Canis lupus familiaris: one gene and its partner. Each later gene encodes a partner of the first gene's protein in a complex. Links are inferred from orthologs where the notes say so. Each region holds a gene or a part of one and is shown on either strand. Other genes may lie near its edges.

Region 1 (7,106 bases):
AAAGCACCCCCACGGAGACACAGACGCTTCCGTGACAAGAACAGCTCCTCCGTAAACAGAGGAGTTCTGAATCCACAGACCCGACCTTAGGACACATCCAGCAAGAGCACACTGAGCCTCCAAGTGCTGCACCCATGGTGCCCCCAATTCTGAGGAGACGGTTAAGAGAAACACAGGCAAGGATGCAGACCATCTGCACCTCCGGGGCAGGCACAGGACGCGGTGTGTGGCCTCCGTAAGGCACTCGGCCCGCAGACACACACTCGCAGCATATGAAAGATAAGCATGTGCTGGGCCACTGAGCATATCCAAATACAAGTCATCAATGCACGTCCTCTGACCACAGTGGGATTGAGTTAAAGATCATGGCAAGTTGAGCGAACAATCTCCTCATTCAGGCAACAAAGAAACACCCTTTAGGTAAGGCGACCATCCTAGCCAGGAGAGGCTGCCACCACTTAACCCAGCTTAGGGCACCAGCAGCAGTTCCCACCTCAGCTGGGAAGGCAGGGCCTGGGGCCATGGGGGGACCCGGCAAGGCATGCGGACAGAGGGCCCGAGCAACACCACCAGCGGGACTGGGTGCAGACAGAGGAGCTGGCCCACCTGGCACCAGACCGGAACTCCTTCATGATGGACTCGCGCTCTTTCTGCGGCATGTCCCCGTGCATGGACGACACCGTGAAATTGGCTTCTCTCATCTTCTCTGTCAGCCAGTCGACCTGCACATCAAATCAGCAGATGCCACCGTCAGCTCAGAAACCAAACCAGACTGTTCTGGACTTTATCGTGATCACCTGCAGAACCAGTGTGAACACTGAGAGCAAGTGCTCTTAAAATTCAGACGAATCTTTATTAGACGTGCAGAAAACTTAACTTTCCTAGCACACATCGGGGCAAAACTCCTATTTGTTCCATATAAATTTCTCAAAAGAAAAAAAAAAAAAAACCTCTCACTGTTCTCATTTTAAATTTAAATTTGAATCTCTTGGAAGGCAGCCCAACTCCCCCTCTGGTTTCGAAGGAGCTGCCAGGGTTCTCCACTCTGCCTGCAGATGATCATCACTTGGGCGCCCACAAAAACCGAAGCCTGGGTCCCACCTAAAACCATGGACTCCCTCCTCCTCACTTAGGGCAGCCATGGTGGCTCAGCGGTTTAACGCCGCCTTCAGCCTAGGGTGTGATCCTGGAGATCCAGTATCGAGTCCCACGTCAGGCTCCCTGCACGGAGCCTGCTTCTCCCTCTGCCTGTGTCTCTGCCTCTCCCTCTCTGTTTCTCATGAATAAATAAATAAAATCTTTAAAAAAATAAATAAATAAAACCACGGACTCCCAAGCCTCAGTCATGAGACCAGCATCAACACTTGTTCGGTTTCACTGGATACATCCGACTGTTCACTTCTGAGCCTTTACAGAGCAGGGCTGACTTGCGTTCTGAGAACCAACCTTCGGTTTTGCCCAAAAGGACACTGAACAGCCAAGACAGCTACTGCTTTACCTTCCTTTTGGTGTTACAGAAGATGACAGCCTGAGTGATGGTCAGCGTGTCGTAGAGGTCACACAGTGTGTCAAATTTCCACTCTTCCCTCTCCACCGCCACAAAAAACTGCTTGATGCCTTCTAGAGTCAATTCATCACTGGAAGATACAGACAAGTGCTGTGAACTCATCCGCTCACCGAGACCTGAGGGCGCACACAAGCCGAGCACTGCTCCTAGCCTGGCCCACGGCGGCCCCCGCCGCTCCCGGCCGTCAGCACTCCCGCCATTCGGGCCACATGCTGACCTGTCTGAGCCTTTAACAGCCACTAGGTAGCCCCTGTTTTATGTATTTTACCCCCACAACACAGACGGACAAACACCATCAGGTGGTGTATAAATTTCGAATTACTGGGCCAAGGGGCAATACACATATGTAAGCTGGTTTCTCAAACCAGAAAACAAAGAATTTTCATGTTTTAAGCTTAAATACAAGCTACGTGGCTGTTTTTGTACCACCCAGAAGCAGGGTGTTCTTACCGCTTCACCAAGATGCGGATGGGGTCTGTCATGAACTTGTTGGTCATCTCCAGGATTTCGTGAGGCAGTGTGGCACTGATAAGCACCACCTGCGTGGCCGGGGGCAAGTACCTGTACACATCGTAAATCTGCTCCTTGAAACCTGGACACAGAAGGAGGCACAGGGAGTCTGAAGGTTGCACTTGGACACAGAAGTGACGACTGTGAGGTGTGAGGTTTCCCCAGGAATCTTCCACAGAACCAGGAAATCCACGTGCCCCACTTCTCTGCCGCTCCTCACCCCTCCCCTCCCAGGTGGGCTCTGGGGATCACAGCCCCACCCGGAGGCCTGGGTGCCAATGCTTAAGAGCAAAAGAACCCCAGCCCTGGGTCATCCCACGACCTCGGCTGCCTCTTGGCAGTCAGGACCCCAGTCCCAGCTCCTGCCACCCTGTGAGGATCTGTCCGCTGAGGAAAGATCACCCACATTTAAGAGAATCCAGGGATCTGGATTTTTATAAAACAATCTTCCAGTTAAAAAAATCTTCTATATGTATATACGGAATCATTACAGTTGTGTACTAGAAACTAATGCATCACGTGTCAATTATACCTCCATCGTTGGGACCTGGCCCACAGGTCACTCACCCCACCCCCATCTCTGCCTGACTGGGCAGGACAGGGCCAGGAAGTATGTGTGAGAAAGCCCAGACAAGGGGGTCCCCAGCCTCCAAGAGAGCCCATTCACAGACTGAGGTTGTAACCAAACATCAGAGCCCAAGATCTGCATTTCTAACAAATTCCCAGATAACGTGAACCCTGGTGGTCTGGAGACCTCACTCTGAGAACTGCTGCCCATGGGACAGGTGCACAGGAGCCACCAGCAAGCCATGGCTTCCTCAGACACTAAGGAAGCCACCTGAGTGCCCCAGTCACTATGCCTCTCTCTCAGCTGAGGAGCAAAGTCTTCAGGTGAGAAGCCCTGGGCTGGAGGGGCGGGGGGGCAGCCCTCAGGACAGCATCAGCCTCCAGGGACCTGGACATCAGAACCATTGAGGGTCCCACCCGTGCAGCAGATGAGCACTGAGAGGCAAGCACTCCCTCCACCTGGATGACCCCGATGTCTATGAGACACCCCATACCCCCCAGTATGATGTGGAGACCGAAGGGGAGGGCGTGTGCAGAAAGGACAAGCGGGGAGACACGAGGGAGCACTGCCTGTCGCTGCACGTAACAATGCCCCGGGCTCAAGGTACATCTTCACGATGTATTTCCTCACCGCTGGACTAACGCCACAGCTGCCACACAGAGAGGCATCACAGATCTGTCCTCAGACACTCAGGTAGAAACAACATGAAAAGCCTAGAAAGTACACGTCCCAGTCTAGAAATTTATCCTATTAACTGGTAAAAGAGTAAAATCAGCCTAGACAACTAACAGGACAACTAGTTAAATAAATGACAGTCTCTAGACAATGGGACGCCCCGTTGCCATAAATCTAGCTTCCCTGACACACCGTTGTGCCCCCCACAACCCACAGTAGGCATTTCTACACGCCTCATCTCAGCCGCACACCTCCCCATCTATGCTGAGCTCCAGACATGTGGGAGCAATGCTGCGCCAGTCTGGGCGGAGATGCTGTGGTTCTGGCCGTGACTGCTCTCAGCTCCCCAAGAGCCAAGTACAAGCTTCACGTTCACAGCTGCCCGGAGAGCACGAGGGCATCTGCTAGCACCGAGAACACTGGCGTTAGCTCCATGTTTCAGCTCCACGATGTGAACGTGTTAACATTAAAGTCAAGAGAAAATCTCTGCTTTCGTGACTCCTACCTTTATTTAACATTTCATCAGCCTCATCCAACACCAACATCTTGATGGCCCGTGTCCTCAAACTCCTGCGCCGAATCATATCTGTGGAATCAGTTTGATATCCTTAGACCTCGGACCACGAGGAAACAGCCAGCCATTCCCCCTGGTTTTCAGAGCATTTCTGAGGCCTCTTGCCTACTTCTTACATCACTTGCACGCAAGCGCTACCACACAGCACAGCAAATGGAAACGGTCCTGGGTCCTTCAAGCACTTCTTGTAACGCCCCAAGCACTTACCAAAGACACGTCCAGGTGTGCCAGCAACAACGTGCTGCCCGTAGTCCAGCTTCCTGATGTCCTCTCCCACATTGGTGCCCCCGATGCAGGCATGGCACTGCACATTCATGTAGTCCCCCAGAGCGAGCAGACCCTGAATTAAAACAAGGGTCACGTCTGGGGCCTCACCTCAGGACCAAAGTCAGAGACCTCCAAGTTTCCCCAAAGTGAAGGTAATCTCTACTCCGACATACCAAGTACTACTTATTCCATCGTTTACACCATAAAACTACAAAAAGACCCAACCTCCTGCTTCCATGCCAAAATAAAGTTCACTTTACTGGTTTCTTATGAAAGAAATACATTTTAATTACAAAAAGCCCTGGAAATACGTAAAACTCATAATTTTAGCCACTCACAAACAATTCTAACAACATCTTAATATAAAGTACAAAAATAACTACTAAAATGATTTCTTTGTTGAAAAAAACTACAATTCTGAGACTGCAAAAAGATACTGGAATCATACCAGCTACACTAAAAATGACTCAGTAAAAATGACTCAGTATAAACCAACAACATAAATCATAACAATGATTTATGCCAAAAATCAGGAAGTAAAATTTGAGGGAAAAAAACAGGATTAGATTAAATCAACCAGCCAACCTTTTACACCTGAATCAGAAAGCAGCACTTGGGAATACAGCACTAACTCTCAGTGGCTCACCTTCTGGATCTGCACAGCTAATTCTCTCGTTGGAGCCAAGATCAAAGCCTGGGTTTCACGAACCTGGTAAAATAATTTGTCAGAAAACAGAGAATCCTCAGTATTCTCAAGGCAGACTGCACGAAGTCAGATGCAGATCTATCTTGAATGTTACATCGCATTAACCATACATCTCATTTCTAATAGAGACAAAGGAACCTGAATGTAAGTTCATGTGTGAACCCAGTCATCATGGGGTTCACTGGGCAGAATTCTTGCTTGGCCACTAAAAGAATGCCCACTAAAAATGTCTCTCTCCATTTAGCTGACAAGGAACTTAGGACAGAGTATTAGTTAGCTCTCCTATTAGTGTGTAATTAAGAATATCATGAAAAATTTGAGTCAGTACAACTAAGTACACATTTTTAAAAACCGTCCTTTTCAGACACTGCAGTTACAAAAGAAACAAAAGTATTTCCAAGGATTAAAGATAAGTTCATTTGAAGACTGGCAAATTACCTGAATATCCAAACACTGGAGGACAGAAATGCTGAAGGTGGCAGTTTTGCCTGTGCCAGATTGTGATCTGTTCAAGAAAACACAGGTAGAGGTGAAAAAGGATGGGCTATGTGTTCCCACTCACCTCACCCCACCACAGCAGTGCTCCAAAGGACAGCTGCAGGACAGCTGCAGAACAGCGGCTTCCTCCTCCACTGCCCGGGGTGGGGTCACGAGCAATAAGGTAAGATCAGGAGGATGCAACTTCTGCACTAGGGGAGTCGGAGCCGCAGGATCTATAACCCTGACGGGTGTTACAGACTCCAAAAAAAGAGGCTCCCTTTTATAGAAATGTAATTCTCTTCTGCAATTTTGGACTATAACCGTCCTCCAAAAATAATTTTTCTTGTAAAGAAGTCTTTAAAATTAACACAAATCAGGAATAAAGCCATTAAGAGAGTATGCTAAACCATTCTGCATGCCAGCTGCTAGGTAAGTGAAGCTGGCTAAGAATATGACAGCTTTCTAAAGGACACAAAAACAAAAAACAAGACACCGTGGCTCAAGCTGAGGAAAGGGCTACTGACACATATGTGGAAAGGGAGAACAGGGGTCCCCTCAAAGCGCTGTACTCAGCTGACAAGCACCTAACCCCATTCTCTACCGGTGACGTACTGAGCAATGACGTCTCTCCCTTTAATTATCTGCTTGATGGCTCGCTGCTGGATGGCTGATGGTTTCTCAAAACCTGTAAAAAGAAAGCGAAAGTTCTAACATGAGGACACTGGCAGCTCCTTGGGACACAGATGGTATCTTTTTTTAAGCCCCCACGTCCACCCCTCTTAGCGCAAAGTCCAACACACCAAAGCTCAAGAAACAGCTGCTGAATGAATTGGGTTGAACTGTATTTTTACACTAACACAGATCTTATGTGCACAGACAAAATCTCTATAAAAGGAACATTGCAGAACGCAGAGACCCCAGTTAGATTACAAAACAAAAAACAAAAAAACACCCAAATGTTAATGGTGGTGCTCCTGAGAATGGATGGGAAAGGCTCATCTTTTACTTCAATTCCTCCTGCACTGCGTACGTTACGATAGCCTGCGCTGCTCTTTTAACATTTCCATTACTTTTTATGCTACAAGAAAGAAAAATGAATCCAGTGGCACCGTGGCCGCCCCCTCTTTCCTCTCTGCATCAGCTCTACACGCTGTCTGTGCTGTCTGCCACAGCAATGACTCTACGGCTCGGGCCGTTCCGCGGAGTGCCCGCTGCGCTCCTTCCACTTGTGATGCAGCTTCACCAGCTACGACATCACTCTAGAACGAGGCTACTTGGAGAGGGTAAAAAAAACATTTCCCAAGTAAACAAAAGCTCACGTGCATAAAATATATCTTAGTTACTCTTCGGTAGCCTTTTAAAACTCAGCCCGGACTTCCCGTCTAAAGTTAAAACTGTAACACGGATGATTTAAAAAACCCTCACAGCGACCATCCAAGCAAGCACACAGGCGGGGAAACTAAAAACAGTGTTTTGGGCAGGGCTGCCGGGGAGGCTGAGAGGTGGGTAGGACCATCAGCCTCACCTCCGCTTTGTCACCTCCCATCCCCTCTCTGCTTTACACCTGGTAACTAACACCAGGGACTGTTGGGTAAAGGGAGTTCCAGGCCCAGGCGTCAGCACAGAGGCTGATCGCCCCGGTCTGGACCCCCAACACGGTCTCTCCCCAGGCTCCCGGCACCTGCAGCCGGGTGGCTCACAGGCCCCTGAGACTCCCCTGCCTCCGAGGGCTCCCCACATGAGCAATCGCCAGCAGCAC
Region 2 (7,206 bases), on another chromosome or scaffold:
AACCCAGAACAAAAGATCTGTGAGTGAACCCTGGTTATTCCTACCGAGATGACATGCTTATGAAGACCAGAGACACATCTTTTAAAATACATTTTGTATATCAGTCCACACATAAAATATATATGTATATAAGCAGGCTGAGACATGTGGGTAAACATAAAACTGAATGCTAGTTAAACATAACAGTATGAAGATATAGTAACTGTTAAGACATTTTCAAATGTGACAAAGTGGTTAAAAGGAAAGAGAAGCTTTGATGAAGCCTCAATAGTGAGGCAGAAATTAAGCAAAATAGAGCACATGGACTTGACAGAGGCAGGCATAGCTTTGAATTCCCACTCTATCTCTTGCTCGTCAGGATGAGGTGACTTTGAACAAGCCCCATAATTAACATCTGGGCCTTCATTGTAAAGGGTATATAATACCGCTAATCAAAAAGGCTTACAATCAGGGTGAAATAAAATCATATGTAAAACACCAAGTGCCAAGCCTGGCATCTAACCTGCATTCAATGATGTGAACTGCTTTCCCATGTTCCCTTTCCCCCATCCAAATGCAAATTAAAGAGCTCTTCTGAAAGCTATGCACCAGGAAATACACAAAACACTTTAGGTATAATGTATTTAATTCTGTGATAGCACTGGGGGGGGGGGGGGGGGCAGGTTAATTATATCTGTTTCTGCAGACAAAGAAACTAAAACTTATCAAGCCAGGTTATTTGCCCAGGGGCATAGAGTAAATAGCAGATTCAGGGTTTAAACCAAGATTTGCAAGACTTTAAATGATTACAAAAGTGGTTTAACATTGTAAAAGAAAATATAAACTAAAAGATGTGAGAAAAATTTTAGAAGGTGTCTATAGATATGTCTATACTTCTCTATTCTTTTTCAATACTACTTACTCCCAGAAAGAACAAAAACATGACAAAAGGCTAAATTGTAGTGAAAGAAAGGCTCTCAGAAGGCTCATTACCTCTTTTCTGATCATGACATCATTTTTGTAATTGCTGTTGTTGGCATATCTCAATTTCCCTGTGAGGAGCGAAAAAACAAATTCAGTGTATATTAAAAACGTATAAATAAAGCTTCATTAGCTCACCAAGACTATCAGCTGTTGCTTAAAATGTATCCTAGCTTTCCCCTCAGCGTCTACCAGATTTACTATTCAAACTTCTGATGTTCCAACAATAGCAGTCTTTCAGTTCTTTATTTTCGGCTATTAAGTAGCTTCAAAGCCAGAATATTGCTGACATTGAATTATAATTCTTGCAAAAGGCAGCTCAGGTGTGATAAAAGAACATAAGCAGAACATTGTGACTCTGGCAAATCATATCTCTGCAGGTTAATGTCCTCAGCTGAAAACAGGGATAGTGATGGTAACTTACTTGCACATAAGGCCTCCTGAGGCTCAGATGAATTGTGAAAGCAGTTTGAAAATTGTAAAATGCTGTTTACATATTATTCATGTGACCATGCAATACTCTGATCTATTCCTATGGTGGAAAAGTTTTGGTTTTATTATTAAGCATATTTGGTATACAAGGCCTTTTGTGTGTATATGCATCCAAAAGGCTATATGCTAGATATGAAGGAAAAGAAGAGAAAAGGAAATAGATGAATTTTTACCTTTGGGATTACACATGTAAAAAGAGCCAGATTAATTGATGCCTCACTGCACTCACTATCTCTGCCTTGTCTCTCTTGGTTCAGTTCATTCTCCATACGGTAGACAAAGTGATGTAGTAACAGACCAATCTAATTAGGTTACTCTAATACTTTTTTTTTTTGGTAAGATTTTATTAATTCATGACAGATGCAGAGAGAGAGACAGAGACATAGGCAGAGGGAGAAGCAGGCTCTCCTTCAGGGAGCCCAATGCAGGTCTCGATTCCAGGCCCCCAGGACCATGACCTGAGCCAAAGGCAGACGCTCAACTACTTAACCACCCAGGTGCCCCAGGTTACTCTAACACTTTGATAATGACAATAGCTTCTCACTGCCTTCTTTTTTTTTTTTTTTTAATTTTTATTTATTTATGATAGTCACACAGAGAGAGAGAGGCAGAGACACAGGCAGAGGGAGAAGCAGGCTCCATGCACTGGGAGCCTGACATGGGACTCGATCTCGGGTCTCCAGGATAGTGCCCTGGGCCAAAGGCAGGCGCTAAACTGCTGGCACCACCCAGGGATCCCTTCTCACTGCCTTCTTGATAAAAATCCAAATTCTTCAACATGGCATAACTGCTAAGCTGAGCCCCTGCCTGCCTTTCAGGCTCCCTCCTGCAATAGTCCACTCTTACACAGCTGGAGTTAACCACCTTACTTGGTTTCTGCTTGAAACATCCCATGCACTTTTTGGTTTTCAGCTTCTTTGATGTTGATGTCCAAATGCCTAACCAACTCCTGCACATTACTAAGACTATCACTCCTCTTCCCCCAAGTCATTTTATGCAGGAAGCTTTCTCCCATCCTCAGGCTACCTGAGGGTTAGGTTAGGTTGCCTTCTTTCTGCTCCAGAGTCCCTTCCGTTTCTTTGTACCACAGCATCAAACACACTATCCTATCATTGTTTGTTTACAACTGGGGCTTGTCAGATTCATCTTTGTGCCCCCATTTAGTGGGAGGTTTTTTATTTTTTATTTTTGTCATCTTTGATTCCTTTTCCTCCCCACAGTGGTCCTTCCCCCAGATCTTATCAAACAGCAACGTCCTATTGGTTCTGCCTCCAACAGTATCCTGAACCCTTCTATGCGCTTTTGATAGTACCTTAGTCCCAACCAGCATCCTTTTTACCTTGACAACTGTTCACTGTCTCCTAATAAGTTGCCCTGTCTCCACTCTTGCAATGATTAGAATAGATTACTTTTTCTAATCATTACTCTATTTCTAATCATACTCCATGATTAGAATACTTTTTCAGGAAGAGATCACATCTCTTCTCTCCTTAAAACTTTCCAGTTGCTTCCTGCTGCACTTAGAATAAAATCCAAACTCTCCACCATGGCCTGTAAAGACCTACATGGTGTACCCCTGCTTATCTGACATTGTCTCCTACTATTCTCCTCGGAGCTCACTACTTCCTCAGCCATACTGGCCACTTGGAACATGCTCGTTCATGCCCCAAAGCCTTAACACTTGTTACTCCCTCTGTCCAAAATGCCCTTCTTCCCGAGCTTCACAAAGCTGGCTCTCCTTCTTGTCACTTAGGATTCAGTTCAAATACTACCTTTCCAGAGAGCACGCCAGTGGCCACTCTGCTTAAAAGCAGTCCACTTTTTAGCAATTACTCCATCGTTTTGTTTCATGCTCTGACCACTCGTCATTATCTGAAATCTTTGTTTGTTTATATCTCTCCCAGCACCAGAATATATACGCTATGAGAGGAAACTTGTCCCAAATTGTGAAAGAGAGCCTGGCACAAAGTATGCAATCAGTGTCTGCTGAATGAAGCATTCTAGTTAAAAAAAAAAAAAAAAAAAAAAAAGTTCGTGCACATGGGAAGAACCAGCGGAGCGGTCACAGGAGTGGCCCTTTCAGATCCGCGCCGCAGTCATCAGTCCCGTCCTCTCCTAGCTCCTCCTCGCACATTCCGGAGCCCGGGCCTCCCCGCTCGCCCGACCCCAGGCCCCGTCCTCGCTCGGCCGGGGCCAGAGGCCGCTCTTACCGTCGGGCCGGAACTCAAACTCCAGGAACTCATGGCCGAACTTGCCCTTGTGACCCACGTAGTAACGCAGATAAAAGTCACTCTCCATGGTTCATAAGGAGGCAACGGAGACGAAACTTGACCAGCAAACCTCGTCGCCGCGCTGTGCGCCCAACACTGACGTTTACCGGGGCGCGCGGATGTGACGTCAAGGCGAGGCTGCCGGTCGCTGCGAAGCGGCCCAGGCCGTCTGCGTTCCCGGAAGTGGCGGCAAGTCTGGCGCATCCCCCGGCGGAAACCAGAGCCCCGTCGCCCGGAGGCGGGGTCAGCGCAGCCCCGCCCCCTCGGCCGCCGGCGGGAGCGCGGCCACGGGTCGCCCCCGGGTTTCCCGAGGCTCGAGGCCGCAGGCGACGCGAGGGCGCCCGGGCTTGGGCGGCGGGTCTGGGGACCCTGCTTCACGACGTCCGGCTGAGCTCCGCGAGGGCTGCGCCCCAGGCTCGACCTCCGTGTGCGTGGGCCCAACGTGGGCGAGCCCGAGACAGCTGTTCACCGTCGGTGATGAAGGAGCTGACCCCACGGACCGCCGCACGCGCTGGCGCGTGGGTCAGAAGTTGGCTCCGGCCGAACTTTGCTCACGGAAACGCTCCCCACAGACGCCTTTCCTGAATCCGTGGTGCCGCTGCCGTTTCCCTGGAACTGACCTCTCCCTTTTATCCCTTTTACTTTTACTTTTTTTTTTTTTTTTAATTCCTACCTTTCCCTTTCTACTTAACTGGTCTCTAGAGCAGGTGCTGCGGGTAGAGGTTAAACTGGATATGGAATTTCCCCTTCTCGTTTTCTAGGCTCTGCTTACCCGGCAGGGATTCTCCGACCTGGCTGCACAACGGAGTCATTCGGGAGCATCTTAAAAATACTGATGCTTGGGCCCCACCCCAAACCAGACAATCAGGTTCTCTCGCCGCCCTGAACCTGGGCGTTGGTACTTTTTTGCAAACCCCCCCCGCCCCCCCCCCCCCGCCCCAGATGAACAACGGGGCAGGACTGATGCCCAAGAGCCCCTTGTCCTTTCAGGCCAAATTGGTTGACCTCTGTGAAGTCTTTCAGGCTGTGGAAAATTTTCCTCCTTGAGTAGGCAAAGGACAGTCAAAACCCTAATTATTAGGAAACTGCATTAGTTCGTGGAAGTTCCAGTGAGAGCAGGGAATTGTGAAATCAGGTCTAGAGACCGTGCTAAGATGGCATCATTCTGGGGGCCTGACCACTGTAATTGTATACTGTTCTTCATTGAGGTCAGTGGCCTCTTGATTCTCATTCCCAGTCTTAGCATTACTCCTTTTCTTCCCCCCAAAAATAACTGGTGTAGAGTGGGTGTGAAGAGGGAAAATCACTGGAAGCTTGTGTTAAAATAATCCTTGTGTGATTTGATTCGCTATGATCGAAGGTGTGAACTAACCTTCCACGCCACAGTCATCAGTCCCTTCCTCTCCTAGGATCAGTGAATCTCGAGGTTCACTCAAGTTTATCTTTAAAATGAGGGACAAAAAAATAAAATAAAAATAAAAAATAAAATGAGGGACGCCTGGGTGGCTCAGTGGTTGAGCGTCTGTCTGCTTTTGGCTCAGGGCATGATCCTGGAGTCCCGGGATCGAGTCCCGCATCGGGTTCCCTGCATGGAGCCTACTTCTCCCTCTGCCTGTGTCTCTGCCTCTCTCTCTCTCTCTGTCTCTCATAAAGTCTTTAAAAATAATAATAAAAAATAAAATGAGAAAAATAATGTTATACATCTGGCAGGACTGTTGTAAGAATAGAAAACAAAATCTTGGAAATTGGAAAAATACTTTGCCAACTGTAAATTGCTATAAAACTATAGGGTGTTTTATTTAAACACACACACACACACACACACACTGGGGGACACCTGACTGGCTCAGTTGGTTGAGCATTAGACTCTTGATTTTGGCTCAGGTCATGATCTTGAGGTCCCGGGATCAAACCCTATGTTGGGCCCTCCCCCTCCTCCCAAGCAGGGAGTCCACTTGGGATTCCCTCTCTCTCCCTTTCCTGCTGCCCCTCCCCCTCTAATAAATGAATAAATCTTTAAAAAAAGAAAGCATGGGATATGGGTGGTAACAAGGGAATTGTATGAAAAAGAGAAGGGAACCACGAGGTATTAAGCACCTAATAAATGTGAATCCATTTACAAATGCTTATTCTTTGAATCCTCACAACAGTCTTGAGGCGGTAATTCAATTAAGTATATAGATTCATCAGGTAATTACCACGAAGTTATTTTCCAAGAGTGAACTTATAAAAATTATACTGTTAACTGTTGAATCTGGGCATCTGCAGATGTGGCAAATATCAAACGTTTTGAGAAAACTTAAAGGAACTGGACACCAGTCAGACTGGATCCAGGTTTGGGGGCATGAGACAACATGGTATAGCTGAAAGAACATGGTCTGTGCACTTATTGTTATGTGCTGGGAATAATACAATGGTGAACAAGACAGACCTTTATAGAACTTGCAGAGGAAGCAGTTGAGCATACAAGCAATTATAATGTAGAAGCAACGGTTACAAATAGAGGAAGCACAGACTACTATGGAAGCACATGGGATGGCTCCTAATCCAATCTAGGGGCCTAAGGGAAGTCTTCCTGAAGGAAATGTTCCAGATAGAGGGCCCAGAACTGTGTGGTTGGAATACAGAATGAAGTTGTGAATATAGTAATGAAGTTGGAGAAGGGACAGAAACCAAATGGCTTACAAGGCATATTAAACTAGAATATGGGCCAAAACTCAAAGGTATTGGATTTTAACGCAAGGGAAACAGATGAAGAACTTTAAGCAGGACAATAGAAAGGCTGGTGGTGACGTGACCTCTTGCCTTCTAGAAAAAAAATCACTCTAGCTGCAATATTGGTAGGAAGTTGCTAATAATGATGATCACCCAAGATAATGGTAATGGAGATGATAAACGTGGATGGATTCGTAAGGGGTGGGCAAAGGAGATTAAGATGTGGCCGGAGAGGTAAGGAAAAACCAGGAATATGGTGTCATGTGCGCCAAAATAAGAGTACTCTAAGGTGTGCCAACGGTGTTAGATACTGCTTCCAGGTCAAGGAAGAGAAAGACTGAAACTGTAAGATTTGTAATCAAGGGATACCCGGAGTGGCTCAGGGTAAACGTTTAGCGCCGCCTTCGGCCCAGGGCGTGATCCTGGAGGCCCAGGATCGAGTCCTGCGTCGGTCTCCCTGCCTGGAGCCTGCTTCCCCCTCTGCTCGTGTCTCTGCCTCTCTCTGTGTCTGTCATGGATAAAGAAAAAATAAAATCTTTAAAAAAAAATTGTAGGGATCCCTGGGTGGCGCAGCGGTTTGGCGCCTGCCTTTGGCCCAGGGCGTGATCCTGGAGACCCGGGATCGAATCCCATATCAGGCTCCCGATGCATGGAGCCTGCTTCTCCCTCTGCCTGTGTCTCTGCCTCTCTCTCTCTCTCTCTCTCTATCATAAGTAAATAAATAAAAATTAAAAAAAAAAGAAAAAAAAAAAAAGAAAAAATAAAAAAA

What was found.
Region 2: EIF4A3 (region 1) and MAGOH share a complex: the UniProt entries of both Homo sapiens proteins name them as parts of the ALYREF/THOC4-EJC-RNA complex. The link is inferred for Canis lupus familiaris from reciprocal best matches to the Homo sapiens genes EIF4A3 and MAGOH.

The regions. Positions count from the first base shown.
Region 1 is NC_049230.1:2,446,262-2,453,367, reverse strand, and holds part of EIF4A3 (eukaryotic initiation factor 4A-III), read right to left. Parts: intron 6,033-7,106; coding exon 5,960-6,032; intron 5,373-5,959; coding exon 5,306-5,372; intron 4,871-5,305; coding exon 4,808-4,870; intron 4,235-4,807; coding exon 4,102-4,234; intron 3,907-4,101; coding exon 3,826-3,906; intron 2,160-3,825; coding exon 2,018-2,159; intron 1,638-2,017; coding exon 1,499-1,637; intron 723-1,498; coding exon 607-722; intron 1-606. UniProt on the Homo sapiens protein: ATP-dependent RNA helicase. Involved in pre-mRNA splicing as component of the spliceosome. Core component of the splicing-dependent multiprotein exon junction complex (EJC) deposited at splice junctions on mRNAs.
Region 2 is NC_049226.1:56,147,115-56,154,320, reverse strand, and holds the start of MAGOH (protein mago nashi homolog), read right to left. Parts: upstream 3,881-7,206; 5' UTR 3,751-3,880; coding exon 3,663-3,750; intron 1,032-3,662; coding exon 973-1,031; intron 1-972. UniProt on the Homo sapiens protein: Required for pre-mRNA splicing as component of the spliceosome. Plays a redundant role with MAGOHB as core component of the exon junction complex (EJC) and in the nonsense-mediated decay (NMD) pathway.